Ovis aries: one gene and its partners. The main gene of each other region encodes a partner of the protein of the gene in region 5 in a complex. Links are inferred from orthologs where the notes say so. Each region holds a gene or a part of one and is shown on either strand. Other genes may lie near its edges. The genes, in order: S1PR1, CHRM4, SMO, LPAR1, GNAI1, FFAR2 and LTB4R.

Evidence for each region.
Region 1: the proteins of GNAI1 (region 5) and S1PR1 are in contact, whole or in part, in a cryo-EM structure (PDB 7VIE), measured with the Homo sapiens proteins. The link is inferred for Ovis aries from reciprocal best matches to the Homo sapiens genes GNAI1 and S1PR1. Residues at the interface, in NP_002060.4 of Homo sapiens: Ala31, Arg32, Glu33, Val34, Leu194, Thr219, Tyr320, Phe334, Asp337, Ala338, Thr340, Asp341, Ile343, Ile344, Lys345, Asn347, Leu348, Lys349, Asp350, Cys351, Gly352, Leu353, Phe354; in NP_001307659.1 of Homo sapiens: Arg78, Met80, Arg142, Thr145, Met146, Met149, Lys150, Leu151, His152, Asn153, Arg231, Ser232, Leu235, Thr236, Phe237, Lys250, Leu254, Thr257, Thr314, Asn315, Lys316.
Region 2: the proteins of GNAI1 (region 5) and CHRM4 are in contact, whole or in part, in a cryo-EM structure (PDB 7TRK), measured with the Homo sapiens proteins. The link is inferred for Ovis aries from reciprocal best matches to the Homo sapiens genes GNAI1 and CHRM4. Residues at the interface, in NP_002060.4 of Homo sapiens: Arg32, Leu194, Glu318, Tyr320, Phe336, Asp337, Ala338, Thr340, Asp341, Ile343, Ile344, Lys345, Asn347, Leu348, Lys349, Asp350, Cys351, Gly352, Leu353, Phe354; in NP_000732.2 of Homo sapiens: Asn67, Arg130, Cys133, Val134, Pro137, Leu138, Pro141, Ala142, Ile218, Ala221, Ser222, Ser224, Val226, Arg394, Lys397, Val398, Thr401, Ile402, Cys456, Asn457.
Region 3: the proteins of GNAI1 (region 5) and SMO are in contact, whole or in part, in a cryo-EM structure (PDB 6XBM), measured with the Homo sapiens proteins. The link is inferred for Ovis aries from reciprocal best matches to the Homo sapiens genes GNAI1 and SMO. Residues at the interface, in NP_002060.4 of Homo sapiens: Glu28, Arg32, Glu33, Lys192, Leu194, Gln333, Phe336, Asp337, Thr340, Asp341, Ile343, Ile344, Asn347, Leu348, Lys349, Asp350, Cys351, Gly352, Leu353, Phe354; in NP_005622.1 of Homo sapiens: Arg261, Pro263, Ala264, Trp339, Ser342, Phe343, Ala345, Leu346, Gly347, Thr348, Thr349, Tyr350, Ser354, His433, Pro434, Gly435, Ser438, Lys440, Ala441, Lys444, Ile445, Glu447, Thr448, Arg451, Trp535.
Region 4: the proteins of GNAI1 (region 5) and LPAR1 are in contact, whole or in part, in a cryo-EM structure (PDB 7YU7), measured with the Homo sapiens proteins. The link is inferred for Ovis aries from reciprocal best matches to the Homo sapiens genes GNAI1 and LPAR1. Residues at the interface, in NP_002060.4 of Homo sapiens: Ala31, Arg32, Leu194, Gly217, Val218, Thr219, Tyr320, Gln333, Phe334, Phe336, Asp337, Ala338, Thr340, Asp341, Val342, Ile343, Ile344, Lys345, Asn346, Asn347, Leu348, Asp350, Cys351, Gly352, Leu353, Phe354; in NP_001338326.1 of Homo sapiens: Ile84, Tyr85, Arg146, Thr149, Val150, Arg152, Met153, Gln154, Leu155, His156, Tyr225, Tyr231, Val232, Arg235, Thr236, Arg238, Met239, Thr252, Ser255, Leu256, Thr259, Arg314, Asp315.
Region 6: the proteins of GNAI1 (region 5) and FFAR2 are in contact, whole or in part, in a cryo-EM structure (PDB 9NS9), measured with the Homo sapiens proteins. The link is inferred for Ovis aries from reciprocal best matches to the Homo sapiens genes GNAI1 and FFAR2. Residues at the interface, in NP_002060.4 of Homo sapiens: Glu28, Ala31, Arg32, Glu33, Val34, Asp193, Leu194, Phe336, Thr340, Asp341, Ile343, Ile344, Lys345, Asn347, Leu348, Asp350, Cys351, Gly352, Leu353, Phe354; in NP_001357016.1 of Homo sapiens: Gln40, Ala42, Val44, His45, Glu106, Arg107, Gly110, Val111, Pro114, Val115, Tyr117, Lys118, Leu119, Ser120, Arg121, Arg122, Phe202, Met206, Gln209, Pro210, Leu211, Val212, Arg216, Arg219, Ala220, Leu223, Ala224, Phe273, Ser276, Ser277.
Region 7: the proteins of GNAI1 (region 5) and LTB4R are in contact, whole or in part, in a cryo-EM structure (PDB 7VKT), measured with the Homo sapiens proteins. The link is inferred for Ovis aries from reciprocal best matches to the Homo sapiens genes GNAI1 and LTB4R. Residues at the interface, in NP_002060.4 of Homo sapiens: Glu28, Ala31, Arg32, Leu194, Glu318, Tyr320, Thr340, Asp341, Ile343, Ile344, Lys345, Asn347, Leu348, Asp350, Cys351, Gly352, Leu353, Phe354; in NP_001137391.1 of Homo sapiens: Thr53, Asp114, Arg115, Ala118, Val119, Pro122, Phe123, Ser125, Gln126, Lys127, Arg129, Thr130, Leu208, Arg211, Arg212, Phe213, Arg215, Arg217, Arg218, Thr219, Gly289, Gly290, Gly291.

The regions. Positions count from the first base shown.
Region 1 is NC_056054.1:78,585,834-78,589,977, reverse strand, and holds the start of S1PR1 (sphingosine 1-phosphate receptor 1), read right to left. Parts: upstream 2,801-4,144; 5' UTR 2,485-2,800; exon of another isoform or gene 1,047-2,484; intron 814-1,046; 5' UTR 652-813; coding exon 1-651.
Region 2 is NC_056068.1:75,317,270-75,321,523, forward strand, and holds the start of CHRM4 (muscarinic acetylcholine receptor M4), read right to left. Parts: upstream 2,801-4,254; 5' UTR 2,722-2,800; intron 1-2,721. UniProt on the Homo sapiens protein: The muscarinic acetylcholine receptor mediates various cellular responses, including inhibition of adenylate cyclase, breakdown of phosphoinositides and modulation of potassium channels through the action of G proteins.
Region 3 is NC_056057.1:94,816,574-94,820,073, forward strand, and holds part of SMO (protein smoothened), read left to right. Parts: exon of another isoform or gene 1-1,935; intron 1,936-2,614; coding exon 2,615-2,820; intron 2,821-3,492; coding exon 3,493-3,500. UniProt on the Homo sapiens protein: G protein-coupled receptor which associates with the patched protein (PTCH) to transduce hedgehog protein signaling. Binding of sonic hedgehog (SHH) to its receptor patched prevents inhibition of smoothened (SMO) by patched.
Region 4 is NC_056055.1:12,383,330-12,387,321, forward strand, and holds the start of LPAR1 (lysophosphatidic acid receptor 1), read left to right. Parts: upstream 1-1,192; 5' UTR 1,193-1,525; intron 1,526-1,909; exon of another isoform or gene 1,910-3,992.
Region 5 is NC_056057.1:42,546,185-42,550,297, forward strand, and holds the start of GNAI1 (guanine nucleotide-binding protein G(i) subunit alpha-1), read right to left. Parts: upstream 2,801-4,113; 5' UTR 2,496-2,800; coding exon 2,378-2,495; intron 1-2,377. UniProt on the Homo sapiens protein: Guanine nucleotide-binding proteins (G proteins) function as transducers downstream of G protein-coupled receptors (GPCRs) in numerous signaling cascades.
Region 6 is NC_056067.1:45,404,719-45,408,888, reverse strand, and holds FFAR2 (free fatty acid receptor 2), read right to left. Parts: upstream 2,801-4,170; 5' UTR 2,635-2,800; intron 2,088-2,634; 5' UTR 2,081-2,087; coding exon 1,091-2,080; 3' UTR 202-1,090; downstream 1-201. UniProt on the Homo sapiens protein: G protein-coupled receptor that is activated by a major product of dietary fiber digestion, the short chain fatty acids (SCFAs), and that plays a role in the regulation of whole-body energy homeostasis and in intestinal immunity.
Region 7 is NC_056060.1:20,677,597-20,681,689, forward strand, and holds the start of LTB4R (leukotriene B4 receptor 1), read right to left. Parts: upstream 2,801-4,093; 5' UTR 2,795-2,800; coding exon of another isoform or gene 2,665-2,794; coding exon 2,647-2,664; intron 2,292-2,646; coding exon of another isoform or gene 2,251-2,291; exon of another isoform or gene 2,169-2,250; intron 66-2,168; exon of another isoform or gene 1-65. Other genes in the region: lipid transferase CIDEB, read left to right, coding at 2,251-2,291, 2,650-2,794, 3,690-3,839, 4,077-4,093. UniProt on the Homo sapiens protein: Receptor for extracellular ATP > UTP and ADP. The activity of this receptor is mediated by G proteins which activate a phosphatidylinositol-calcium second messenger system.

The DNA of each region.
Region 1 (4,144 bases), on a different chromosome or scaffold from region 5:
AATGGCGAGCAGGAGCAGAGTGAAGACCGTGGTGCAAAAGAGGATATAGTGCTTGTGGTAGAGCGGCAGCACGGTGGAGCAGCTGGGCAGCGTGCTGATGCAGTTCCAGCCCATGATGGGCAGGCCCCCCAGGACGAGGGAGATGACCCAGCAGGCACTGATGAGCAGGAAGGAGCGGAACCGGTTGCTCCCATTGTGGAGCTTCATCTTCAGCATAGTGATGTAGCGCTCAATGGCGATGGCCAGGAGGCTGAACACGGAGGCCGAGAGGGCCACAAACATACTCCCTTCCCGCAGAAACCACTGGGCGGGGGTTAGCTTGTAGGTGGTGGCCCCAGACAAGAGCAGGTTGGCTGTGTAGGCCACTCCCGCCAACAGGTCTGAGAGGGCCAGGTTGCCGATAAAATAGTACATGGGTCGGTGGAACTTCTTGGTTTTCCAGATGGTCAGCAAAACAAAGATGTTCTCTAGGATGATAAAGCAGCAGATAAGAATGAACACCACTGAGATCAGTTTAATGCCATTGTCCTTGTCCGCGCTGATCTTCAGCTTTCCCGTGTAGTTATAATGCCGGACAATGATGTCGTAGTTGACATAGTCGGAGACAGGGCTGTGCAGGGCCTTGACCAGGGGGATGCGGGTGGACCCCATGATGCGCACGGTCCCGACACCCGGGGCGGCGCTTCTGCAGATGAACGCTAGAGGGCGAAGCGGAGCGAGCCTTCACAGGCAGCCGGGGTGGTTCAAGGAGAGAGATCCAGGCTTTTTTTGTGAAGGTTTTCTTAAGCTGGAGAGGGCCTCGGAAACCACAGCCTTAAACAAATCACAAAGAGCAGAGAGTCAGGGAAAAAGCCACAGCACATTGGCATAATTCATTCTAGCGAAGGCATTGCTCCAATTTTCTTGTTGATTTGTTTTAAGGAAACTTGGGGAGAGCGCAGGGGGGAAGGATTTAAAAAAAAAAAAAAAACATCAAACTCTCATTTCTTGGGGGGAAAAAGGAAGAAGGGTGAGAGAGAGAAAGAAAGGGAAAAAAGAAAAATTACCCAAGATGAAAACTCCGACTCGACGACAAGACGAAAACGTCCCCTATGGTTACATATACCCAAATGGAAATGGGAAAACTGGAGGTGTGAGCCCCATTTAATTCCACTCCTACGTCCTCAACACACACACACACACACACACACACACCCCTCCGCCTCTCCCAACGCTGTCCCCACCTCCACCAGATTTCCAGCTCCAGTTGAAAAACTAAAGCCTTCACCAGCTTCGCGGCGGGCTCACCACTAGCTCCTAGTCACACCTTCGAAGAGACCAAACCACCAATGTGAGACGCACACCTCTGTGCTCGGCACTACCCAGCTAAAACCACCTCCTAATTGCCATGCAAGAAGTTAGATTTGCGCGAAAATCATTTGACAGCGTAAGTCACTTTTTAGGCTCTATTAATAATCTCTAGGAGCAGGTGTGCTTAGGGTCCGAAGGCGCAGCACAGTGTGGGCAGCCAAGCCCGCCCTGGCCTTGCGGTAAACAGGAAAGCTTTAGCGCCTCCGTGAAGCAACTGCCTTTTCATTCTTCTTCTTCTTCTTTTTTTTTTTTTTTTCCGCGCAAGTCAGTGCAAGAAACTATAAAAGTACTCAGTAAAAATCATTCATAAGCTATTGCAATAAATCCCAGAAGTTTCGTACACCCATTGATTGCAAAAGTATTTTTTAGTTACTGTGGATATAGCCCAAACACGCATACAAAAAAGAGAAATTAAATTACAAACGCTAAAAATACACGCCACTGCATTTCAAATTTCGAATGCAAAATTACTCTCCAGAAACTCATACAAACAGAAGTCTGGAGGTTCCTTGCTAAGCCAGTTTTATTTACTGCCCTCCCTCAATACGTTGCCTCGTCTCAGAGAACTACGAAGTGTGGAGGGGATGAAACACGGCACGTGTGGGCAGAAGTCTACCCGTAAGTTGTTTAAATGTTTCAGGGTAACACTCAGGGTAGCAAATGCGATAAAAGTGGAATTCTCCAGACTACAGCAATTCCCGGGACAGCAGAGGCTGCTCGGCGCCCAGTAGCTCCGCGTTTCCCCCCACCTAATTCCACACTCGCTCGCTCGCAGGGCAAGTTTAAGCCCTTACCTCATCTCCCGCAGTCTTTGTCTATAGGATTTTCCAAAATAAGCGCCTTCCCTCCCACTCCGCAGACCCACCGCAACTTCCTCTATCCCCCAACCCCAGAGGGTTCTACAAAGAGGACTTAACCCTTTTCCAAACTTTTTAGTGAGCCCAGAACAATCCGATCCGGTTGGGCGCCTGAGTAGCCCAGAGATGCTTGTTCTCAGCACCCAGAGATGGATGGTTTAAAAGTGTTGCTTTGCTTCTCTCCGGTTTGAAAATTTTGTTTCTGCCTCGGAAGACCTCCGGTCGCGATGCTCCCCTGCTCGCCCGGGTCCGCGCCTGCCCAGCGCTCACTCCCTACCTGGCTCAGGCGGGACGCAGCTGCGTTCGCGGAGCTCCGGGTCTGCACTGAGCGCTCGGCATCTTGCTGCTGCCCGGGACTGACGGCGTCGAGCTCTCAATTTACTCGAGTCGGGGTCCCCTCCCTCCGCAGCCGCACACTCCAATGGCCAACGCTCTTGCCGTGGCCGGGCAGACCGGTCAGCTGAAGTCGCCGAGCGCCCCGCTGAGGCTGAGCGGCTTCTCTAGGAAGGGATGAGGAGGAGTGAGTGCCTCAAACCCCCGTGCCCCTCCGCTCGCGCCTGGGGGCCGCCGGATCTGTGCAGCTGAGACTCACTGTCCAGGAAAGATCTGCAGCAGAAACACACAGACAAAAAAGAGCCCCTCCTCCCCAAGGGAACCAAAAAAAGAAGGGGGAAAAAAAAAAGAAAGAAAGAAAGGGGGCGGAGCCTGGTGCCCCCTGGACTCAATGTATAAATCACGGTCCTCGCCCTGCTATCCGCCGCTCCCTGGCGGTGGAGACAGCTCTCCCCAGCCTTAGAAAAGAAAGGAGGGGAAGCGCTTTTGGAAACTTTTCTCAAGAAGAGTCTTGGGAGACAGAGGACGGCCTGGGCAATCTAGTGCGCCTTTCTGGTCCCCTTAACCCCGCAGCCCGTGGGGGATCGGAGTCCGAAGATTGTGGCCGGGCGCTCCGGGCCGCCACCCCACCACGACCCCAGGCGCTTCTGCGGAGGCAGGGGGAAACCAGCTCCGCGACCCCGCGAGTCCCGGTCGTGTTCCTGGGGACGGGGTGCTGGGAAGGGGCTGCCAGAAGGATGGAGGAGAAATGCTGCCCGGGTAGAAGAATGGCCTGGGAGGTTCCACCGCTTCAGCTCACCTCCCTCCCTCACCCTCATCCTTCTGCTGCCTCGAAACTTGCGGTCTGAGGGGGCAGAAAGTGGCTTTCGCGGGGCGCACAGTGAAATGGGCCAGCTGGGGGCGAGGTGTTGTGCGGGGGTTCCCCTCACTCAACTGGGCGCAAAATCAGGCCTTGTGTCCCAGATTCTAGCCAGTGGTGAGGTCTGTGAGGAGGTGGGCAGCTGCCGGGGCCCGCGAGTTTAAATAGCTTGGGCAGCTCAGGAGTTTCCAAAGAGAAAGGGCTGCCCGGCACGGACCAGCCTAGGACCGGCAGCCTGGGGCCGGAGCCCTTGTCTGTCTTTCTACGTCTTTCTACTTCGGAGGCCCAGCCTCAGTGCTCACAACTCGCCCACTGTTTCCTTTCGCTTGCATGCTGCTTCAGAATGTGAGACTGAGAGTCGGCCTTGGTCAGCTCCGCCTAAGTGGTAAACTGAGGGCCCTTCTGCCCTGCCCTTCTGCTTGAGGCTTTGCAAGACGGTTTCCACCCGATCTCTGGTCTCACTGGCTTCCCATCCAGGCAGATGTCAACGCAAAACTTCTCCGTTGTGAAGTTTCAATTAACACAGTACAGGCACACCCTGTACCTGAATGACTCAGAAGGAGGCTGAATGAATAAACAACAACTCCTGGCTTCTGGGATCTTATGACTTTGCAAAGGAAAAAAAAAAAAAAAAATCAAATGACAGTTAGAATACAGTTTCCCCAAAAGCTCTCATCAACAGCCTTGAGCCCAGCACACACCCTCAAATTCAACAACAGTAAATTCGTAAGACATAGAAACCAAG
Region 2 (4,254 bases), on a different chromosome or scaffold from region 5:
CTTACACGCGAGGATGTGAATTAACTTGCCTAAAGTTACCCAGTGTGTAAGGAGGGGTGGGGGCAGAATTAGAGCCCGGGAGCCACCTTAACCCCCAGGTGCTACAACAGCCTCTTGTTTTCCTGCCTCTACTCTATCCTGCCTCAGGTGGCTCAGCGGTTAAAAGAATCCATCTGCAACATAGGAGACACCAGAGACAGGAGTTCAATACCAAGGTTGGGAAGATCCCCTGGAGAAGGAAAAGCAACCCGCTCCAGTATTCTTACATGGAGAATCCTGATGGACAGAGGAGCCTGGCAGGCTACAGTCCATGGGGTCACAAAGAGTCGGACACAACTGAGCACACAGCACCGGGGTGGATCTGGGGAGGCCTGGGTGTAGGGTCTCTTCTCATTCCCTGTGGGCTCCCTCTCTTAGCTTTCCCAGAGAAAAACAGATCTCTTACCTCCATCTGAACAGCTTGTCTCCAATCAGGTGGCCAAGGGTTTACTCCTTGCCCTGGACCTGCTTGGGGAAGCGGCCAGCTGCAGACAGGTCTAGGCAAATACTTTCCCCTCTTCCCGCCCCAAATATCTTTCAGGGGGTCACCCGCAGACATTCCAACTGCACCCTCTGCTGGGGCGCTTCTCTGGGATTCAGGCCCCGCGGGAACCTGGGGAGCAGCCACCGCCCGGGGATGTGTGCACCGCTAGATGGCAATGTCGGTCCCTGGGTGCAGCTCCGGATCTAGAGCAGGTGGCCGCTATTCGCCCACCGCCCCCAAACTCCAAGAGCTACAGGGAACTCACGGGAAGTCCCAGGTAGGGCCTCACAGGGGAGGGCCTAGGAGCCCCTTCGCCAGGCCCCGCCCCAGAGCTGCATTGGGCTCCTCCAGGGGTTCCGCAGTGGGAAAGTTAAGGGCACCCGGTTCCACCCGGCACACTGCGAGGCATGGGTGGGCGGGAAGGCGAGTGCGAGTTCTGTTTGTGTGTGATCACTGGGGAGCGCGAGTAGAAGCTAGTAGCTGTCTGCATGTGCTGTGTGTGTGCGCGCTGAGCCACGCCTGGATACCAGTGCGCCCGTGTGCGCGTGAGCATGCTCGCGCGGTGTGGACACGTGCATGTGCATGTCTCTGTGTGTGCCTGGAGTGCTGCGGCCTGGGCATGCACACGGTTCGGGTGTGCCTGCATCTGTGAGCCTGTGTACAGGAGCAAATGCCGGATCCACCGTGGGTCCTGTGCGTCCCGCCCCTGCCCGGAGGCTCAGCCCATACTTCGGCTGTCTGAGTATGAAGAAGGTCGGCCAAGAACCCGGGTCTAGATCGCTCCCCGCCTGTGTATGGGGAAGCGTTCCCGGCTGCACCGCAAGACCCGACTACAGTCTGAGTTGCCTGGGAGACCCCAGACGTGGGGGCATCGTCTTAGCTCAGGGCCCCGCGGTGTGTGCGTCCCCAACATTGAGGTGCCGAATCCCGGACTGGGACGGGCTTTTGTCGAGGGGTTGCTGTTAAGAGTCTCTCAACCTGACTTGCGGGACACTCGGTTCTGCTCAGTGTGCCCACTGCGCAGATATCGCCAAAGGGCGCCCAGTCTGCGGGGGAAGGGTGCCAGAAGCACCTCCATAACTGGGATGCCCGGCCGGGACTTGTGTAAGGCGTGTGTAAGACTCTTTCCCATCTCACACTCCTAACCCTGAACCCCGCCGTAGAGGAACCGCCCGGCATCAGCGGCTGGAGAGGGCACCCGGCCTCTCGAGCCCTGGACTGGGGTGGGCCTCGTCGGGAATTATTACTGGGCCCAACTGGAGACCACGTCTCCCCGACTCCCTGGTGGTCGAAGGGGCCCTGGCTCCCCCGTGCCCCACCCTCCCCCAACTCCCTGGAACGCAGTTTCTGCAGCCTCTGGGCGTGGGCACCTTGCTTTCCTGGGAACTGGAGCCCCCCTTTCCCCAGGCGCCAGGGCCGGGGGGCGGTGGTGGTGAAGGGCGGGGGTGGGAGGTGAGTCCTCGATTCCTAGGCGTTCACGCTAGGGCTCCAGGAAGGCTGTGGTCTCTGCTGTGTCCCTGGGGTAGGAGAGGAGACTCAGGAGTTGCGGGGAGGGAGAAGGGGCGCAGGGGATTTGGCACCGACACTGCACTGCGCGTGACACTTCCGCCATGGGGCTCGGGGCTAGGTGCTGGACCTCCCAGTCTCTGAGCCTGGGCGACAAAGGAGGGGAGTCTTGGAGGGGGGAGGGGCGCCAGGAGAGGGCAGGGGTGTTTCCAGTCAGAGTTCAAGGTCGCTGATGGAGGATTCGGTGGACTGGAGTGGGCTGGCGGCGCCGGGGTGGCGAGGAGACGGGCGGGAAAAAGCCTCTTTGGGGCTCCAGCGCCCGGCGCCCCGAAGAGCTGCCAGTGCAGGATGAAGTACGGGGTCCCGCCCCCGACGGCTGCCCCGGGCTCCTGAGGGGCTGCGGGCGGGCACACACACCGGCACCAGCACCGCCGCCGCCCGACCCACTGCTTGTCCATTCCTTCCCGGAGGCGCACCTGGAGAAGCCTCCGAGCCACACTCCGGGCCTTTCTTCCAGCGGGCCCCTCACCCCCCAGGCCTTCTGCAGCTCCCAGCACCGGGCTCGCCCCCGAAGAAGCCTGGGGCCCTGTCCTAGTCGGGCCCGCCTCGGGGAGCCTCCGAGGGTCCGCGAGCCACGCGTCCTTCTCTGCCCACTGAGTCCCCCGCCCCCGCGCAGCCGCGGAGTCACTTACCAGACACCTCCGCCCCGTTCCCCTCGCACCTGACAGACGGCGGGACTGGGGGGTGGCCCCGCGGGCCGGCGGGCGGGGCGCGCGGCCGGGCCGCGGGCCGGGGGCGGGGACGGGGTGCAGAGGGGCGGCCCCTGCTCCGCCCGCAGCTCCCGGCGCTGTGGCTGAGACTCGCGCTCACGCTCGCACTTTTCCCCGAGCCGCGTGATGTCACGGGGAAGCAGCCAATCCTGGCGGGGCCGCGCCGCCCGCCCCGGGCCGGCCACCCAACGGGGACGCGCGGGGGGCACCACCCCGGCGTCGGGGACCCCTGCTACGCGCGCCCCTCCCTGGAGCCGGCCGGAGGCTCTCCACTCGGGCACTGTGGGGGGCACCGCCCGCGGCTCCCAGCGCGGCTTAGCGGGGGGCGCTGCCCTCCCGGGAGCATGGGGGGGTGGGGTGGGGTGGGGTGTCCGCGTTGTCATGGGGACGCGGCGCCCCCTCGCGGGCTGGGAAGGGAGCTGGCAGCCCCGTCTGGCTGCGCTCCCGCCCCCGCTCTGACCAAGCCCAGGGGACGGGGAGGGGGTCTCGTGCCCCACCCGGGTCTCTCTCCTCACACTGCCCGGCTCGCAGCTGGACCACCGGGGCGCGAGTGTTTGACCCTAACAGGAAGTTATGGGTGGGTGGGTGGGGTGGGCTCTCTGCCGTCCGGGTTCCGTCGGGGCAGAGCCGAGGGCCGGCAGTTTCGAGCCTCCAGACGGAGTATTGGCCTCCGGGCAGCCAGGGAAGAAGGGGCGCCGTCGGGGCCTGGAAAGGCGCTGGAGAGAGAAGCTAGGCGACGGTCCCTAGGGAGAAAGGAGCTGGCTCATCGCACGCAACCTCGCCCGACCCCCATTCCTGCCGTCCGGCTCCCTGCTCCCGCGTTCCAAGCCGGAGAGCGGGTGTGCGCCCTTTCTCCAGCCCCGGGGACAGGACGCGGGGCCCTCCGGCCTGCAGGGCAAGCTCTCCGATGCCTGTGAGGGAAATCTGAGTGCCCAAGGTCACCTGGGGTGGAACCCGGAACGAGAGCCTCGAGGGAGATAGCTGCGGGTCTCTTGAGGTGTTCGAGAACGGCGCGGGCCGAAGCCCTGGGGCTCGGGGCCTTGCCTGCCCCGAGCTGGAGGGCCAGTTGGGGCGCTCGAGGGATGAGCGCTGGAAGGCTTCAGCACCTCGGAGAGCGCCACCTCGACGCTGACCTCGGCTGCTCCGCTCCGCCTGCGGGCACCAGCGTTCCTGCCTCCCCCGAGACCTTCCTTCCTGCGGCCGGCTAAGGTCCGACTTGCCCCCCCCATCCCCCACCCTGCCCCACCACATGCCCAGGCCCCGGGGCTTGCCACCCCAAACTCTCTGAGCGCGAACGTCCGATTAAACCTTAAGACGGATGGTTTCTTTTCTTGAAAAAACAATTCAAGTCCCGCCCCTCCTCCACGGGTTGGGCGGGGGGCTGTGTGTGCTGGGCGCGGGGAGGTGGAGGGCGTACCGCAGCGGAGGAGGCAGCAGGAGCTGCCAGAAAAGGGG
Region 3 (3,500 bases), about 52 Mb from region 5:
ACTGGGATAACTGGAAAAGTTGGGAACTTGAAAAACGCAGCATCTCTTTCTCTTTCAATGAGAAGGGGACAACAAAGGATGAGATGGTGGATGGCATGACTGACGCGATGGACATGAGTTTGAGTAGGCTCCAGGAGTTGGTGATGGACAGGGAAGCCTGGTGTGCTGCAGCCTGTGGGGTCACAAACAGTCAGACACGACTGAGCCACTGAAGTGAACTGACCTTTCCCTTTCTTCTTTTGGGCCCAGGGTCTGTCAATGCAGTCTCCACCAGGCCTCTTCAGCAGGACAGCCTTGGGATAGTTAATCTGATTACATGGCAACTGGGCTTCAAGAACAAGGGTTCCAAGAGACCCAGGCAAAAACCAAATGGCTTCTTATTATGATCCAGGCTTGAGAGTTTGAGAACATCACTGCCACCACATTTTATTGGTAGAGCAAGTCACTAAGACCAGCCCATATTCCACAGTATCTTTATTAAACGTCCATCTGTTTCTCCTCTAAAATACATTTTACTCTAGGGAGCTCCTCCCTATTTAAAATGTATTGTGTAATAAACATCCAGTAAAATTCACTTTCTTTGTTGTCACAGTTCTGTGAGTTTAGACAAAGGCATAGCCTGGATGCAGCCACTGCATTCAAGATGGAGAACAGCCCCATCACCCCCAAATGTTCCCTCGTGCTGTCCCTTGGTAGGCAAAGTCCTCTCCTACTCCATCCCCTGGCAACCACTGCTGTGTCCTCCACCCATACCCAGGCAGTCAGAATTTTGGAGACTGGGTTCTCCATCTAGAGGGATAGAGGTCCCCCAGGTGATTCTGATTTGAGTCAGGTCTGAGAACCGTTGGTAGGAACATGTCTTCTTTTAAAATACCAGTTCAGTTCAGTTGCTCCGTTGTGTCCGACTCTGTAGCCCCATGGATTGCAGCACGCCAGGCTTCCAAGGCGCAAGCATCTTAATTTCATGGCTGCAGTCACTTTCATTACTGCAGTCATCTGCAGTGATTTTGGAGCCCAAGAAAATAAAGTCTGTCACTTAAAAAAAATTTATATCTATATATAATTTTGCTGCGTTGGGTCTTAGTTGCTGCAGGTGGGATCTTTAGTCGCAGCATGCTGCACCTTTTAGTTGACTAGTCCCCTGATCAGGGATCAAACCTGGATAGAGTCTTAGCCACTGAACCACCAGGGAAGTCCCTCAAGAACACTGCCTATTAAGCAATAGGAATTTGCTTTGCGCCCTTAGAATAGGCTTTGCTAGTGAGAGCTGTGAGTGGTCAGAGGCCTCAGATAAGTAACAGTAACAGCTAATATCTCTTGAGTGCTTAGTATATGACAGGTACTGGGCTATATACATTTGGCACATTATTTCACTCTGCACCACAGTTCCACTAAATCTATTGTCCCCATTTCACAGATGAGGAAATTAAGGCTCAAGATTAAGTAATTTGTCCAAGATCACACAGCCAGGAAATGGTAGAGCCACAGTTTGGACTCAGGCAGGCCAAATTTTGAGGTCCATGCTCCTTATCCCTCCCTCCCCAAAAGAGAAGTTACCTGCCCCCACCAGCTCCAGCCTGGGCAGTTCCCCATGTCAGCTCTCACTTCCTCAGAAGCTTATCCTAATACAATGTCTTGTTTGGGAAATAGGTGTTCCTGCAGGAGGGATGATTCAGGAGGAACAGAGGGATGGAATGCTGAAGTGAGCTCAGCCAGCGGGGGAGCAGGGTAGAGGCCTGGGCTGGGGCGGGGGTGCTGGGAGACCTCCACCTGCGTGCGTCTTGCTGACAAGACCTTTCCTCCCCCTGCACTGGAAACAGCCTCCTCTGTTTCTCTCCATCTGATTTCCTGTTTCCTCTTCTGGCTTTGGATTACCTGGCTCCCCTGACTACCTCTTCCTAAGCTCCTACCTGTTCTCTGTCCCACCTCAGCTTGGTAAGAGGAACAAGGGTCCGGGGGTCTGGGCAAGGGGAAACACCTCCTGGATCTGGTGCACGGGCCCTGTGGGGGTGGGTCCCACAGCCCTCCTTCCCCATGGACTGTAGAAGGTTTAAGAATGCCCCTGAAAAATTAAAAGGTAAATTGATTTTGGGTTCTCAACCAGAGATGCCAACATTTGGGTCATTTTGAAATGGGGGCTGCTTTTTAAAAACTTGAATTGAACTGCAATATGTTAATACATGGAGAAAAGGGGCACAGATTGATTTTCACAAGGTAAATATACCCGTGTAACTGGTACCAGATCAAGAAATAGAACATCACCAGTGTCCCAGAAGTCCTCATCAAGCTTCTTCCAGTCCCAAGCCTGGAGTGGGAGGGGTGGGGAGCATTTTTTTGCTTGTCACTAGGACTTAGGGGTTCTGTTGGCATTTAGTAGGCAGGTTCTAGGGATGCCAAATGTCCTGCAGTACATGGGACAGTTCTGCACAAAGAATGGTCCCGCCCAAATGCCTGGCTGAGAAATGCTGTGCCTGATGGAACTGAGCAGTCATGGCCTGCAGCGTGGCCAAGAGAGATGGTTTAGGCCCAGGGAACAGGGATGCAGCTGGGTCTGTGGGTCAAGGTGAGGAAGGGTCTTCACTGCAATGTATCCACACTGTGGCTACACCCCCAGGCCTCCGGAACGCCCCCCGCTGCTGGGCAGTGATCCAGCCCCTACTGTGTGCTGTGTACATGCCTAAGTGTGAGAACGACCGGGTGGAGCTGCCCAGCCGTACCCTCTGCCAGGCCACCCGCGGCCCCTGTGCCATCGTGGAGAGGGAGCGGGGCTGGCCCGACTTCCTGCGCTGCACCCCCGACCACTTCCCTGAGGGCTGCCCGGTGAGTGCTCCGCAGGGCTGGGCTGGGGCTGAGCTGGGCATGGGGACAAGGCCCAGCAGGGGCAGGGAAGCTCAGAGCCTAATGAGCTGAAAGATCCCAAGTCGTGGGCTCAGCGAGCCACAGACCCAAACCAAAACTGGGCCAGTCCATCAGGGATTATCTTGTCTAGTTATAAAACATTTTTGAGCACCCACTTTGTTACACAGTGGGGAGTTACAGGAGTCATGAGTGACAAACCTATTCTCAGAAAGTTTATCGTTTATTTAGGAAGTCAAGGCTTGCACATGTGAAACGCAAGAGACACCAAGACAGGGATGGGATCTAGTTCTGGGGTGAAGGAGAGCACATTAATAATAATAATAGTAATCATTATTTATTACTGTCCACATACATTTTAAACATCTTACATTTATTTATTTATTCACTTAACCCTTAGATCACACCATGAAGTAAGTACTGCTCTCCGATCAGGAAACAGCTAACGGGGAGGTCACATAACTTGCCCTAGGCTATGTGGTCCCTGAGCCGCAAGGCTGGGATTCAGATGCTGGAAGGTTGTCTACAGCACCTGCGCTTTCAGCCTCTCTGCCATGCTAACCCTGCACCTCCTATTAAACCAAAGGTCACCTCGAGCCTACTGCTTTCCATTGTATTGTCTTCTCCCCTTGCCAGAATGAGGT
Region 4 (3,992 bases), on a different chromosome or scaffold from region 5:
AGCTAAGTGAGTTTTCTGAGTTGATAGAGCTATAGTTGAAAACAAAAGTCCTTTTCAAGTATATTCTTTCTTTTCTTACCAATATATACTTTGTATTATACTTAGATTATATAGTGGATATTTTCCTATTCGTCCTGGTGCATTAGAGTTTAACATCAGCTCTCATTGTTCACAGTGTGATGTTTTTATATACTTTCTGCATGCTGTAAATGAACATACTAGCACTGTGCATGTATTAAAATCTCTAATTTTTCACATTATCTATTATAAAAGAAATTATAAATTGGTAGGAAAGGGGAGATGGAGAAGGAAATGGCAACCCACTCCAGTGTTCTTGCCTGGAGAATCCCAGGGATGGGGGAGCCTGGTGGGCTGCCATCTATGGGGTCGCACAGAATTGGGGACGAGTGAAGCGACTTAGCAGCAGCAGCAGGAAAGGGGAGAAGGCAGTCATTTAAGCTGATTTTTTAACAAAGGGGATTTGATACATTGTTTGAAAAAGGAAACAGCCTCAGATAGTAACTGACGAGCAGTCAGGTTTTTAGCCTTGAGCATCCTGTGAAAACCACGAGACCAACTCACCCAAGGTTCTCAGCAGTCGCTTGCGGGAGATGGTCACGTTCTCTTCGAAAGTATACCAAGAAATCTTCCCCTCCCCACTCGCTGCGGTTCCCAGTGACCTCTCTCTTCTGCAAAGCCTTAGGTTACCGAGTGACCGGCATCAACGCAGCCCTCCCTCGCGGTTCTGCCTTTCTTTCTTACAGGTAGTTGGATCAGTCCTGCCAAAGTTCCTACCATACCGCTGGCGTGGCCCCCACGTGCCATTTCAGGCCAGAGTGCAGTGTTTACTTGTAAGCAGCTACTTTTGTTGTGCAGCGCCTTTAGCAGTGAAGCCAGAGGCAGACTGCCAACGCTCCTAAAAGCCAGGGGTGGTAGGTGGTAGGTGGCGCGGCAGGAGAGCCCTCGCGTCCTCCCTGTGGCCGCCCCCTCCGTGGACTGGGAGGTGTTCAGAACCTGGGCGAGTCTCTCCGGCTGCCTCTTTCCGGAGAAGGATCTCCAGGCCTTAGTCCCGCACCGCTCCCGCCCACACCTTCAGGTGTGTATTCCCCGCCCTTAATTACTCTTCTAAAATTGATAGTTTGCACTTCTTGGCGAAGTGCAAGTGCAAACTGGGAAAGCGGAAGAGAAATGTATAATCATGGACATGGAGAACTAGGGGCGCACAGTCACACTTGCTTTAGTCTGCAGACCCAGTCAGTCGCAAACTCAGAAATAGAAACGTGTGCACCTTTCGGGCAGCAAAGTTGACTCCGCGTTCTTCGCAGCCTCGAGTTAAAAGCTGCGCTGGGAGAGCTGTGCCTGCTGGAAAGTTTGGACACGAACTACGCGAGAGGCCAGACGTTAGGGTTTCCGCGGGCCCGGCGATGTCTTCCAGAGCTTTTCAAGTGGGAAGAAAAGAGCGACAAAATGAAAATGCAACGTGTGGGGGTGGCCACCCGAGTCCCGCAAGCTGCCGGTCTCAGAGGTGAGCGCGGGAGCGGGTGCGGGGTGGGGAGCTGGAGTTGGAGGCCAGAGGGTCTCGGGCCGCGGGTGGGTTCTCTCCGGGTGGGGGGCGCTGGGAAGATGATGAATGGGAGGCTTGAGCTACCTTCCGCCCCCGCCCTGCAGACGGGGCTGGAAGTCCAACTAAATGGGGGAGGAGGAGCGCCGAGGGTCGGGGCTCGGGGGGCGTCGCGCCAGGTAAGGGAATGAGCCAGGGGGAGGGAGTCGGGAGGTGCAGGACTTGCTGACTTGTGCTACGTGGAGCCAGCAGAAAAGAAGGAGGCGGAGGAAGAAGGCGGCCGGCGTCGGCGCGGCTCCCGTGGCCCTCCCTCGGCGCCCCCTCCCCCGCCGCCCCTGCCAGCGCGCCAAAGCCGGAGCACTCCGGGCGGAGCGGCGGCAGACGCTCCCCGAGCCGCGACGCCCCTGTCCCCCTGCGGAGCCCGCCCGGGTGTCGGGCGGCCAGGGTCCCCCCCCCCGCTGCTGAGCCCTTCCCGGCCTCCCGGCCGCGCTCGGGACCCCGGCGGGGTGGGCGCAGGGGGCGGCCCCGCTCCGGGCGACGGCCGAGGGGCGGGCGGAGGGCCGGGCTCGGCGGGCCGCGGGGCGGGGGCTGCGGGGATTGACCGCGCAGCCTGAGGCCAGCCTGGGGGCGGCGGGAGCCGGACGCGAGGCGGCGGCGGGCGCAGGTAAAGGCGCGGGCGCGGCGCGGGCAGACGGTACCCTCTGAGCGCAGAGCCTGCGGCCGCCGGGTCCCTTCCGCGGCCAAAGGGCGCCCCGGGATCGCGCTTCCCGGCAGCAGACGCGCTTTGTGGCTGTGGGTGCGTGTGTTTGTGCGTGTGTTTGTGTGTGTGTGTATACGCGCGCGCCTGTGCCGGGTGTGGGTGCGTGTCTATGCCCGCGGGCCAGCCTGTAGGAGCGAGGCGCTGCCGGCCTCCCCAACCAGTTGACCGAGCCCCGGGAGAGCAGTTGCGGCAGCCGCCCGGGGTCCCCGCCCTCCGGTCCCCAGCGCGCTCCGGGGCCCACGCTGTGCGCTGTGCCTGCGATCGGGACCCGCCCAAGTGACACGTAGGTGGTCCCCGCTTACCTGGGACTGGGTGGGGGCACAAGAAGGCAGGCGGGGGGCGCTCTACGACCTCCCCAAGCCGTGTCCGGGTGGCCTTGGGCCGCCGGGGGTCCTCGCGCCCCGCAGCGCCGGGCTCCCGCACCACTTGCTTCTCACCCCCACTCAGCCGTCTCTCCCGGCTGAGGACTTAAAGCTTAAGTTTCTGCTCACCCGCCTAATAAACACGTTTATCAAGTAACTGGGAAGTCTAAAGCAAGGGAGGGACCTGGCTTTGAGTTGGTGGTTTTGAAATCGACGGGCTACTTGTGTGTGTGTGTGTGTGTGTGTGTGTGTGTGTGTGTGTGTGTAGGACGAGTTTGTCGTGAATGGATTTACCATTTATTCTGGTTTTCTTTGCTGCCATTTGGACTTCGATGTGTAAGAATGACGGTATCCAGGACTTGCTGCTGCCTTCACTCTGGGGCCTGAGATTCCTGCTCTCTGCTGCTACTTCTCTTTCTTTTCCTTTTTGTTGAAATCTATGGAGTTTTTGTAAACGTGGGTTTCCAGTGAGAGCTGGCTTGTTAAAGTTTCACTGTGAACGCGTTGTTTTCTATTGGAATAAACACATATTTACAAACATGAATCTTGAAACAAGTAACTGCAGTTAGGAGAGCAAAATCCTCTATTCCTTCAGGCTTTAACAGTCCGAGTTTTTCACCTATTTGCTCAAGTGTCATTTGCCCAGCCTACGTATAACCGTGAAGCGGGAGGTCTGTGATTTAAAGCTTTCAGTTCCGGTTATAGAGAGACTGCACTGGGAAACCTGCAAAGTTCCTTCTCCTAAGAAACTATTCCCTTGACAGATAAAGAGTAGTAAAGCCCCAAGGAAAAAGGGTGTGTACTGGAATTATGCTTATTTGGACGGAACTAAATTGTGTTAACACACATATGTCATCCGGTTGTTTCTACCCTTGATTCTCCAATTCAAGGAGACTGGAGAATATTTGTCCCCAAAGCAAAATTGTGAATAACGATCACCATTATTAAGACTGCGTTTTTCTTGATATGGTTTAATTTGAGAATAAAGAAGCCAAGTAGCCAGAGAAAGAGGTAGTGTGTGGCAGGGTCAGGCTGAAGGACCAGCAGGAGGACTGGGTTATCACAATGAGCCACAGGCACACCACGCCCCCTAGCGGTGCGACCTTAGCCAGTTGGGTAAACTAGTCCTCCCTTGCCCGTGTCCTCATCTGGAAAATGGAAGGAAGGGTTTGATCATCTTTGCTGTTCCTTCCAGCTCCTTGCGATAACTAGAAACTGGAGGGTGGTTATCCCATGTTAGAACAGTAGGAAGTGAGTAAAGGGGAGAATAAACCGTTAGTCTGGGAGGTACGGGGGAGGGCAAGCAGGC
Region 5 (4,113 bases):
TAATTGAGCTCTTTACACACTAAGAACTAAAAAAAAAAATCCCCCAAAGAACCAAAGGTCAACACTTCACTGCTAAAGTCAAACTAGGAAAAAGAAATATTTTTTCAAACATTCCAAGAATAAGCCAACATTCTGTTTAAAGGAACTAGAATGTTGGAACTCTGGGCAAAAGGGTAGAGGGTAGGATGGGAGTAAGACAGACGAGGAGGTCCTCTGTTTTGTAAGGCCTAATTCACTGGGCCAATAATATGATGCTATGATGGGACTTCTACAGAGAAAAGGTGTGGGAACAGCACAAGACTAAAGCTAAAAAAGAGAGCTGAAAAAAATCAGCTACCTAAAGATTTTAAGTCATTTTGAAAGCCTTCTAATGTACTTGGTATGGAGAAACAAAACTCCTTAATTTCTTCTGAAAATCGTAGCTCTGCTACACCTCCCTCAGAGTTCTCACTACAGTTCATGGTAGAGATCCAAACTCAGGTTCTACCCTACATATTCAGTATATATTTTTCAGTCTAGAAGAGCTAGTCTCAGCTGAGATTAAACTTGCCCCTAGGGCATGTTTGAGACATTAGTTGGAGGCCAAAGATTCTGCTAAGCTTCCTATAAGGCACAACACAGCTTTCACAACAAAGAGATATTCCATCCAAAATGCCAGTAGTGCTAAGTTTGAGAAATACTGATCTCTTCTGAATATAAGCAAACACCAACTCCTTGGACCCTTATCCTTGTCTATTTCTAATAGACATCTATGTAAAGCATATTACCATACCAGAGGACTCATTTTTCAAGGCTTTAAACAAACATGGTGGATAGCTGGCTCAAAATGAGCGTCACACAATACACTGAAATAATACATCAGAGCAGGAGTGCACAAACTGCTGAAGAGAACTTTTCAATCCTTTCTCCATTTTTGTCTGAAGCACATTCCATTTGAAAGAGGAGCACCTATATGTTCCCATACCAAGGTATGTCCCTTCTGTGTTCAAGATACTAAAAATATATTGCCTTCCTCAAAAGACTATTTCTTATTAATGTAAAAACTTAGGTAAACAGTATAAACTGAGAAAGATTTACTTTGGGTAGGGGGAGGTGTGGAAAAACCACCAGGTCTCTAAAATGCAAAGTTATTTCACAGTTTACTTGTAGAATGACTCAGATCATTATTACTTTTAGTCATGCCAAGTTTGCAGCTTCTAAGCCTACTAGTAATGGAGAAAAAAACCCACCATTTTTCCTGCACTCATTAAACCAATGAAACAGAAGCTTACTGAAAATAGGCTTGTGCAATAGTATTTATTTTATTATAACTGTTACAAAAACAAAAGCAGTCGCTGCAGTGCAAACAAAGATTCTGAGAAATCTTTCACCTACTTTGCTACCTATAGGTAGGGTGGTGTGGTGTGTTTGCGGGGGGTGGGGGGGCGGGGCAAACAAAAGAAAATCCTAACTCACACATCAAAAATCTTAAACTGTGAATATTTTCCAAATGTATCCCTCAATCAAAATCCTGGATTACTCTTTTCACGTTCCCTTCCTTCAAACAGCTGGAAAAGACCTCCGCAGAGCGTTTTACCACCAGAACAATACTAAGAACAAATAAAAGCCTTGCGTCGACCTGGCAAATCTCATTCATCAGAAGCCCTGGCAGCAGAGGAGAATCCTGTTGTCCCGTGTGACCCATTCACACCTTTCACATCGGTTTTACTGAAGCCAGTTACCCAACTTTGGTGGTTCTCATATCCCCACAGTTATTTTTAAAAATCCAGCATAGCCTACTTCCCCTACGCAAGGTAAATGTAATCAGTGCTCCTTTAACACTTACTGAGTCGCCATAGGAAGTTCACCAGAAAGACACAATTCAACCCTAGGGAGGCCCCACAAAAGGTGCACTGATTTCACAAAACGTGGCACTCTTGACATCCTCGAGGAAACCACAACCGCGATACGATGCCTTGTACGCAGGGTTTTAGTGCGGGGGGTGCTCTTCTTTCTTTTTCGCCAATGCCCTTTCATTTTGATAAAGCTGAGCTAACTTAAAAGAAGGGGGCTTCCTTGCGAACCGCTCCTGGGCTCCTGGTGAAATTTCACACCAGGCACGCGAGTGAAGTCTTGCCGCGCCACCGGCGAGTTCTCCGCGGCCAAGGGAGCAAAGAGAAGAAGACCGAGGAGAGGGGCCCCCGCCTCAGCTCTGCGCGGCACAAGCTCGCGCTCCGAAACCATCCTCGGACGCTACACGATGCGCCCTCCGCCGCTTTGGCACGTCCCCTCCGGGTTTCCCAACGCCAAAGAGCCCAGCACAGCCGCGCCCGGCTCTGCCGCCCGAACCCCGGGTTCCAGGCCCACCAGGCGCCCAACCCGGCCCGGCCGCCCTTACCGAGCAGCAGCAGCTTGACCTCGCGCGCCGCCTTCTCGCCATCCTCCCGGAGGTTCCGGTCGATCATCTTACTCCGCTCCACCGCTGCCTTGTCCTCGGCGCTCAGCGTACAGCCCATTGTGCCAGGAGCGAAAGCTGGCTGCCGCTCCCTCCAAGTCCGGCGCGCTGCCTCGAAACACAGGTGAATTCTTTCTTTCTGGATGCAGGCGTTCGAATTCCTCCTGACGCCGGCCACGCCACCCCTACCTCCTTCCGAAACTGAGCGAGGGCAGCGCTCTCTGCCGAAGGGCGAGCAGCACCGCGCAGCTCTTTTCTACAGTCAGGCTCTACTCCTCGCCTCCCTAGGCGCCCCCTAAGACCAGGTTCCTAGGCTCTCGGAGCAGCTGCCAGCGGCCTCCTACTGGTGGCCGCGCTGCAGCCTCTAAGAAGCCCAGCTCGCCGAGGCGTCCGCGCGCCGCCGCGTCCCCGCCCCTGCCGCCCCGCCCGCCGCCCCGCGACCACTCCCAGAGCGCGCGCCCGCGCACGAGCCCTCGGACCTCGCCCCCTCGGATGGGCGCGCGCACCCGCGCTGCCGCGGACCCTGGCGCCGCACAGCCCGCGAGGGCCGGCCACCCGCGCGCGCCCGTGGGAAGCGCCCCTGGGAAGCGGCCAAGGAGCCCCAAACCTCTCGGGGAATTCCTCTACCTGGCTTCCTCCTCGAGAGTGTGATAATTTCTTCCCATTTACTCACACCCAGGGATGTGTGCGGACCTGCCCCTTGGGGTGCGGGTGGGAGAGCTGCCAAAGTTGGAAACCGAAAAAAAACCAGTCCTGGGCGTTTGAGCATGCCCAGCTCGGGCGGGCGCGCGAGGGTTTTCAAAATGCAAACCCGTGTTAGCGGGCCTTCATGGCGGTGGGAGATAGAGCGAGCTGGTTTGGGAATGGAGCCATGGAGAAAGCCGAGCAGGTGAAGTGGGGAACAGAAAGTCCCGGGAGGACAAGAGGTCAACTTTCTTCCTTTTTTTTTTTTTCCTTCTCTCCTCCCTCCTACCATCCATTTTCACGTTCCTTTCCACAGGCAGAAAACATTTTGAAGGATTTCCTCAAACCTGAGAAAATATGAGACAAAGAATCAAAGAGTATATTTTTAAAATAAGAGCCAACACACCCACACAAACAAAACCCCTCCTCACCGTAACTGACCTCCTCTGGGGCGACATAGAAGCTTCCAAGCCAAGTTCTGCACCAATATTCATGACCATGTTAGTAAATCAGAAGCCACTGGGCATGTCATTCTTTATTGCAGGCTTTGGCTTCCTGAACCATAAAATGAGATGGAACTGATCCACACTAGCCTCCATCCTTCCAGCTTTACCTGGTCTGGGAGAAATCACTTCTGTGGGCGTTGGAGGCATCTCACCCAGCGTGTCATCAATGAGCATAGGCTTAAGATCTGGTCTCTGTCAGTTGCACTTTTCCTTACAGATATCACAGGAAATGTTGGTTGATTATAAGACTGGGTTGGTAGCAAAGAAAAACGTCTTCTTTGATGTGTTATATTAGGTAATTGCTCTAACAGAAACCAAAGAGCAACCATTTATAAGTCTTATTTTCTAAAAATAAAAATAAAAACTTTGTTTAAAAAACTGGGCTTGAGTTTTCCAAGAAGGTAAGGCTGAGCTGATGCTACAGGAAGGATAGCCTTAGAGTGGGTCTCCTAAGGAAGGCCTGGGGCCTGGGAGAGATTGCCAGTTTCC
Region 6 (4,170 bases), on a different chromosome or scaffold from region 5:
TGAATCTAATCTCTATTCATTGGTCTAGAGGAATCCATCCATACTTATTCTGCTTACTCATTCCACTCTGATGACATCTTTATCTTAACAGATTTCTGTGGTTTCAGAGGCAGCACCCTCCCACTACCAGAGTCTAATTCTCCATTCCATTTTTGCTCTCTTTGTGCTTGCAGAAATGTCACAAAAATTGTGGACACTCTCTTCAGGGTTTTATAATCTTTATTTTCATTCTTTTTTTTTTTCTGGCCACACCTTGTGGCATGGAGAATCTTAGTTCCCCATGCAGGATCCTAGATCCCTGACCAGGGATTGAACCTGTGCCCCCTGAAGTGGAAGCACGGAATCTTCACCATTGGACCACCAGGAAAGTCTCTAATCTTTATTTTTAATCTGCCAGACCACATTGTCTTTTCCTGTGCTAGTGAGAGTTGAGCCCTAACTGATGGGTACCAAGCTGGGTTCTGACCTGCAGGAAGCACCATGGAGGGAGAATACCTACCCAGACGTCAGGTGGCTCCCAGTTTACTGGGGGAGACAGGTACACACACAAAGACAGGATCATACTTACAAAGCAGCAGGTTAGCTGGATATTGTCCACACCTCAGTCATTAGAGGTCTAAATCCCCGTCCTCCCTCCTAGTCCCCTAGGTTCAGAGCCTTCTTACATTTTCGATCTCGTTTAGTATTTCTCTTCTATCTTTTCCATGGGCTTCTTTTCAGCACCACCAACTAGACCAGCGTGTAGGTGTTGCCAAGCTGGTAGCAAGATTGCCTTAGCTTCAGCTACTAACTGCCTCACAAGGACTGCTGGAATCTGCATTAGCTATATTGCTTCAGAAACTCTGGTCTGATAGTGTGCTTCTGTGCCCAACTGTTTCTTCTTTAGTCCTGGAGCTATGCTCCTTTGGGAAGGAAATTCAGTCAGGAAGGGATATGGAGCTGGTGAGAGAGATTTTTACAGTCCTCAGGAGTCGATTGGGTCTGGGTGGAGGGAAATCCCTGAATCAGGGCCAGGAACTCGTATTCTCCCTCTCCAAGCCTGCTCAACTCCTACAAAACTCAGAGTTCCTCCGAAGGTCCAGGAACATCCCTAGTCCATGGTGAAGTCCGAACTCGGCGCTCCCTCTGCTTGACTCACACCCGGGTCCTCATTCGTGGCCTCCGCCGTTTCTTTGCATCTGCGTCCCAAAAGAGAGGAGCCCCGATGGTGCAGTGCCTGCAGCCCTTTCCCAAACGACCTGCGTACGACTGAGGAAGAGAAATAGAAAAGAAAGGGGTCCAGACTGGCATTGAGGCTACCAAATACGACAGCTTCCCTCCGCCACTTGGGGCTTGCTTTCATGTGGAACCCCACCAGGTGGGATATGTTATAGGGCCCAAAGCACAGCAGGAAATTAAGGAGCGATACGATGGCCAGCCCCATGGCTCGGCGCCGCTTCTGAGCCCCCATATGGGGCTGGGTGAGCATGATCCACACAAAGCGCCAGTAGCAAAAGGTGGTGACGACCATGGGGAGAAAGAAGAGGAGGAGGCACAGCTCCAGCCGAATGGGCAGCAATATCCTCAGCTGCTCTTGGCTGAAGTTCTCGTAGCAGGAGGTCTCATTCTCCTTTGGGACCCTCTGGGTTGAATTCAGGTACTGAACAATGATCACCACGGTGCCGTGACCAAAGGACATGACCCAGGCGATCAGAGCAGCGATCACTCCATACACAGGCCGGCGGGACAGCTTGTACTGCAAGGGGAAAGCCACTCCCAGGTAGCGCTCGATGCTGATGCCCGCCAGTAGCCACGTGCTGCAGTAGATGCTGCTGTAGAAGCCGAAACCCATGAGGGCACAGGCTAGATCAGACAGCTCCCAGAGGAAGTCAGACGCGGCTTCGATGATCTTGAAGGGCAGCAGCAGCAGCAGCAGGAGGTCGGCCAGTGTCAGGTTGAGCAGGAGGATGTGGACGGGTGCGGGGTGGGGCTGGCGCACCCGTCCCAGGAAGGCTCGCAGCGCCAGGAGGTTGGCAGGGAGACCGGTGAGCAAGATAATAATGTAGGCCGCGAGGATCAAGGAGCTGTCCAAGTTTGGCATGGCTGTCCTGGAAGAGGATGAAAAGGGGTAGGGGGCAAGGTCAGGTGAACCAGCTCACAGACTGCAGACCCTAGTCTGGTTCAGTCTGTGGACATCTTCCCGGGCATGCTCCCTTTCCCAGGCCAGGGCTCTCTGCCCCCACCACTGCTTGTTCACACCACCTGCCAGAACTGCCCAGAGCAATTATTGACTTTGCTTGGGGCGGGATATTAAGCAGTAGTTACTACGTTTGCCATCGTGTGTCTCTGGGGGAGACCAACCCTTGGCTGCCCAAGGGAATTCCCCCTGTGGTTCTCCCAGCCTCTCTCCTCCTCTCCTCCTGGACACAGGAAGTTACTGTTAGCAGTCTGCAACCTTCCTCAAGTCCTTTCCCCAGTTAGAGACCTGCAAAGAGAAAAGGCAAGCCTCACCCCAGCAAGGAGGGTATTGGAAGACTTCTCTCAGGAGAACTCGGGCTCTGAAAACCCAGGCCCCGCGACCTAGGGCTGATTCCTCCTCAGGACCCTGCTACTGGCCCAGGAAGCAGGTGCCCAGCCCCCCATCCATCCCCTTACCTGTTTTCCTCTCCTTTTGCAGAACACAAATTCTTCTCCACCTCTCCCTCCCCAGTCCAATACAGACTCGGACTGGGGGACTAGATTGCAAAGAGGAAGCTGGAGAAGTGCGGGGAGGGGGCGCAGGGAGGAGGGGTGAGCCCACAATATTCTATGGGGCTTGTCCCCCGAGAGACTTCAGAGAATATTCAGAAAAGCACACGGGCTGTCACTGGTCCTGAGCCGGGTGTTTTGACAACAAACAGAGCAACTCTTCTTAACAGGGTAACAGTTTCCGTTTGGTTTGTCAGCCTCACTGGCCGCACGCTGTCTGGCCCCTCCATCCTCTCTCCAGGGTTAGTGTCTGCTCCGCAATTTCTTGCCCCCATTGGCTGCTGTTTCTGGTTTTGATCCTCTCACAGTCAGTTTCCTCCAGCCACCCTCAACGCTTTCCTGATCCTGGCATCACTTCCCAGAGTGCAAGCATTAAGCAAGCTGCCTTGCCTTGTCTTCCTTCGGGATAAATGGCTTCTTGGGATTAGTCTTGAAGGAGAGTCTGAAAGCTTCTGGGAAAGAGGCACAGAGCATTAGCTACGGCTACCGCCCATTTCACACAGCAAAAAGTGGTAAGAAACTTGGCTGGTAGAAAGCTTTTGTATCAGCAATGGTCATGTGACCGAAGAGGGGAAGCTCAGTAATTGAGTGCTGTCTCCTCTCGAACCCAAAGGAAAGGATGTGAGCATCTTTATTCCCCACCACTCGCCCCGAGATCCTCACTCTGATTTCCAAACCCAGATTTTCTGTCCTTAGTTCCTGAATTTTTTTTCAATCCCAGGCATTCCCCCTCCCCCCCATTTCCCAAGTCAGATTATTTCATCGTCTTCTCTTTTCTAGGCGGTTTCTTCTGTAATTCTACTCAGTCTCCAAAAAGAGTTTTATACTTCCTTTTCTTCTCTTTCTGAAGTTTCCTGCGCAACAAGTCTCTTTAGCCTGCCCAGTGGAAACTGATCACTTTCTCCTAGCCTATGTCAGTGTGAGATTTAAAATCATGTGGTGAAGTGAAGTGAAATGCACTCAGTCATGTCTCGACTCTTTGCGACTCCATGGACTATAGTCTGCCAGGCTCCTCTGTCCGTGGAATTCTTCAGGCCAGAATATGGCAGTGGGTTGCCATTTCCTTCTCCAGGGGATCTTTGCAACCCAGGGATCGAACCCAGGTCTCCCGCATTGCAGGTGGATTCTTTACAAGCTGAGCCACCAGGCAAGCCCCAAATCAAGATGTGGGCGCAAATCCAAGTCCCTTCGTTGTGACCTTGAGGCAGATCAATTTTCTGAACTTTAGTTTCCTTGATAGTCAAGCGAGGACGGGGATACTTACATTCCAGGACTTCTGTGAGGGGTCCCCAAGGCAGCGTAGATAAGGGATTCAAGCCAGTGCTTTACATGTAATGGATGCCCGTAAGAGGACGTGGTCCCTCCTCCCAAGCCAGCTGGACAGCTTCCTAGAGAGTGAGCCACCTGGTAGGCTATCTGGAGGCTGAGGGCACAGACGTGCCA
Region 7 (4,093 bases), on a different chromosome or scaffold from region 5:
CCAGGGGCCTGGGGAAGCCCAAAGGCAAAGCGGCAGTGGGCAAGTTGTCTAAGTCTGTCCTGTGCCTGTCAGGTTGGCAGAGGGTGAGGCAGAAACAGGGAGGGACAAGGTGGGGCTCCTCTTGGGCCTTTCCAGGAGCCCTCCCTCACCCTGCTGCTTCCCATCACTAACTCGTCCAGGCATGTGAGAGCCCGCCTCCCCAAGAAACAGGATAGGCTGAGGGGGTGCAGATGAGGTTCCCTGGGTGTGTGGGTGAGTAGGGACCCTGCCGGATCCTGGCCCTGGGTCCTGCCTCTGCACTCATTTCCCCCCTGCAACACACACACACCCCCGGTTCTCAGCCCTCCCACCCTGCAGCTCTTACACTGTCAGGCGTCCCTTGCCAGCTCTCAGCAGAGAAGGCAACCCAACTCCTCATTCCCATAGCTGCTGTATCTTTGCCTGTTTTCGGACTCCTGACACTTAAGCCCCTCTTCCTCAGCTTCCTACCTACCCCCTCTCACCTCCTGCCTTGGGCCCTACTCGTCACTCCAGCCTCACGGCTCTCAGAGGGCTATCAGTGACAACTTTCAGTGTAAAGCATGGGGCTAAGTGCCTGGGGGGAGTGGGAGATGCACGGAGGTGTGACGGGCTTATAGGCTGCGTGCAGAGTTGTGACACACACCCATGAAGAGGCCACACTGCTGGGCTGCACCGGGATATGAGGTGAGGAAAAAGGAGAGGCTGCGGTGAGAGACACACTGGAAGGAAGCCGTCTCTGGGTGGTGAGGTCAGGCAAAACTTAGGAATGAAATTTGGCAGATTGATAACAGTGAGGGAAGAAGGAAAAAGGCTTCTGCCTGTTAACAGCCAGAAAGAGGCTCCTTGGGAGCCAGGACACCAGTATTAGTTTGGTTTCCCTCCCAGCAGAGCCTGAGTCGAGGGTGTGGATTCAGGTAATCCTGTCTCTAGGCGGTCAGCTCGGGAAGCCAGAGTGAGAGCAAGGGAAGGGGAAGAGGGGAGCCAGTAAGAGTGTGTTATTGTGTTCCTTCAGTGGGCTCCAGGAACCTCTGAGCACACGGAATACCTTCCCGAAAGACGGAAGGCAGATGTTTATGTCCAGCTCACCTTCCCCATTGTTTGAGGGTTGTCCTAGAGGCTATAATGCCCTGACGCACACTTGCAGCCTGTCCTGTACAGCTTCAGACAAGGCTCCTGGACAGTGTTTGTGTGATGTGTTCACTGACAGTGAGAGTCTGAGCTTCCACACAACTGTTATCACAACCACAGCTGAAGTGAGAGATGGGACACGGGATACCTAAAGTCCATTAAAGGAGGCATTTTCTCTGCCCCCAACCATGACTGTGCGTCCTGTCGCTCAGTCATGTGTGACTCTTTTCGACCCCATGGACTAGTCCACCAGGCTCCTCTGTCCATAGGGACCTCCTCCAGGGGATCTTCCTGACCCAGGGACTGGACCCACATCTGTCTCCTGCATTGGTAGGCGGGTTCTTTACCATTAGCGCCACCTGGGAAGCCCCCATCCATGACTCCTTCATGCTATTTATTGGCCAGTGGGAGGGAAAAGTGAGTGACTAATCCACTGTGACTGAAGCAGGCAGTTCTAGAGACGGAAGTCAGAGAAATGTTAAGCCAGCCCCTCCCCTGGACCACAGAAGGAAGAGCAGGGAAGCAGGAAGGCCAAGGTCCCAGACAAGATCCTGATGATCCTAGATCCATGGGTTACACCCCGTGGGTGCATACTGCCTCCTAACCTGTTTTCTCCAAGCCCTGCAGATCCTCAGCACAGCCTCCCTTTTCCTAAAACTGCAGTAAATGTTTTTTTCAGTAGGTGGCAGCACATACAAAGCAAAGCACATAACGCAGCTTTGCACAGATTGGCAGCTAGAAATTCCCTCCATATAAAGAAAAACACCAGAGATTACATTCCAGTTACATAGTTCCTGTTTACTCTCACATCACACACTGCCACCAGAGACACTCTCACAAAACCTCCATGGCTTTTGCCTGGCATCTGGGGACACAGTCCTTCCACCACCACGCCACACCCCCACCCCCAACTTGGACTTTGCCCTGTGTACTGGCCAGGCAGAGGGGGCCAGAGTCCAGGCTTGACTCATCCCCCTACTCACTGGGGCTGAGATCCCAGCTCTGTAACAGAAAACACCACCACTTCAGCTCCAGCCCAGCAGAGAAGCACCCAGCCTAGGTATCCAGGGAGAGGCTCCTCTCCGGGTCCCTCCCTCCACCATGGAGTACCTCTCTAACCTGGACCCCAGCGGCCTGCTCAGGTGACTCCTAACCCCCCACTCCACTCTCCAGCTCTGGGTATATGGGCAGAGCCACAACACTCCATTCAGCCTCTAGCTTCCTTTGTGCCCCTCCCCCTCCCTGCCACCACTTTTCACAGTGGGCTTGTCTAGACTCTGCCCCACACCCAGTCCCCCATTCTCCCCATTCCCCCGCCAGCCCCCCACGTCCTCCATCCCTGCTCGGTAGTCTTTTCCTCTCCCTGGGCTACTCTAATCTGCAAACCTAGAGCCTCTCTCCCAACTCTCCTAACGCTGCAGCTACCCCACCCATGCCCATCACCCCCAGTGCACTCAGCAGGCCTCTCACCCCTTCTTGACCCTCCTTCCCACCTACCAGGTCAGTATCCAACATGAGCGCCGATTTGGGCCGAAAGGTCTGGACCTCGGCTCCACCACCCCAGCGACCTTTCCGAGTCTGTGATCACAAGCGGACCACCCGGAAAGGCCTGACAGCCGCTACCCGTCAGGAACTGCTAGACAAGGCGAGTGAGTCAAGTCCCTGGGTGCCAAGAGTAGGGGCAGCCAAGGGGCTAGTCAAGAGAGAGAGTTTGGAATGATGAGCAGAAAGAGCTGTGGTTATTACATGGCTGCCCCTCCCTCTGAGGGCTGAAAGCAGGGAGGTCAGCCCGATGGCTTCTACTGCATTTGAGGCGATTTATTTTTTTTTCTAAGGAGCAAGCTTCTCTTTGGGGGTGGGGGAGGAGTGTATAGGGTTGGAGCAATACATTTCAGAACTCCAATGTATGGAACGGCAGTGTCTGACAGATCAAATTCAAATCCTGATTCTGCCGCTTCCTACTGTCAAATCTTGGGTAGGTATTCAGCCCATCAAAACTTCAGTTTCTTCATTTGTAAAAAGGAAACGATACAGCTGCCTCCTTGGGCTGTGGAAAGGTATAGCAGATAAGGTATGAAAGTGCTACAACAGATACTTGACCCTTGTGAAGACTCAAAAAGGTGAAAAGTCACCATTACTGCAAACAGCTCTGGAGAACTGTGAGGGTTGGGGAGAGTGAGCTGGGGTGCTGGAGATGAGACCCCATCATGGCAGGCCTTGTCAGCATAATACCTTAACCCCAGAGAACTTGGCTAGTTTTTCAGTTCCAAACCGGCAGGTGTGGCTTGGAAGCTGGGAGAGGTGACAGTGCCTGGCAGGAGCAAAACAGGACAAATGGGAAAACAATGGGCCCTAATGAGGGTTTCCCAACAACCAAACAACACTGTGAGCTGGAGCCTTCTGCAGGGACGCCAGAGAGCCGCGGAGAGCTGGGGTCAGCACCCAGCACCCAGGGCCCACCGCTGGGTGCTGGGTGCTGGGCAGAGACAGGGCACAGGATAAGCTCTGCCCCTCCCCTCCTGCTTCTTGCCACTGGGCAGGCTCTGGAGGCCCTGGCGCTGAGTGGAGCACTCACACTGGTGCTGGAGGAAGACGGGACCACCGTGGAGAGCGAGGACTTCTTCCAGCTGTTGGAGGATGACACGTGCCTGATGGTGCTGGAGCTGGGACAGCGCTGGAGCCCCCGCAGGGTGAGAGGCCCATACTGGGGCTGCAGTAGACCACTGATCCCTTCTGTCTCTCCCAAGCCTCTTGTCTTGCCTAGCCCTGATCTTGAGGGCAGAGGCAATGAGAGAGGTGAGGAGTTGTCAGACTCCTCATAGAGGACAAACAATCCAGGCAAGGGGCGGGGGGTCAGTGTCTGTCCCAGGGCTGATAGGGTTTAGTGGTGAAGCTTCAGTACACTGATGAGGGGGGGTGCCCTGCAGAGTGGGGTGCTGTCGTA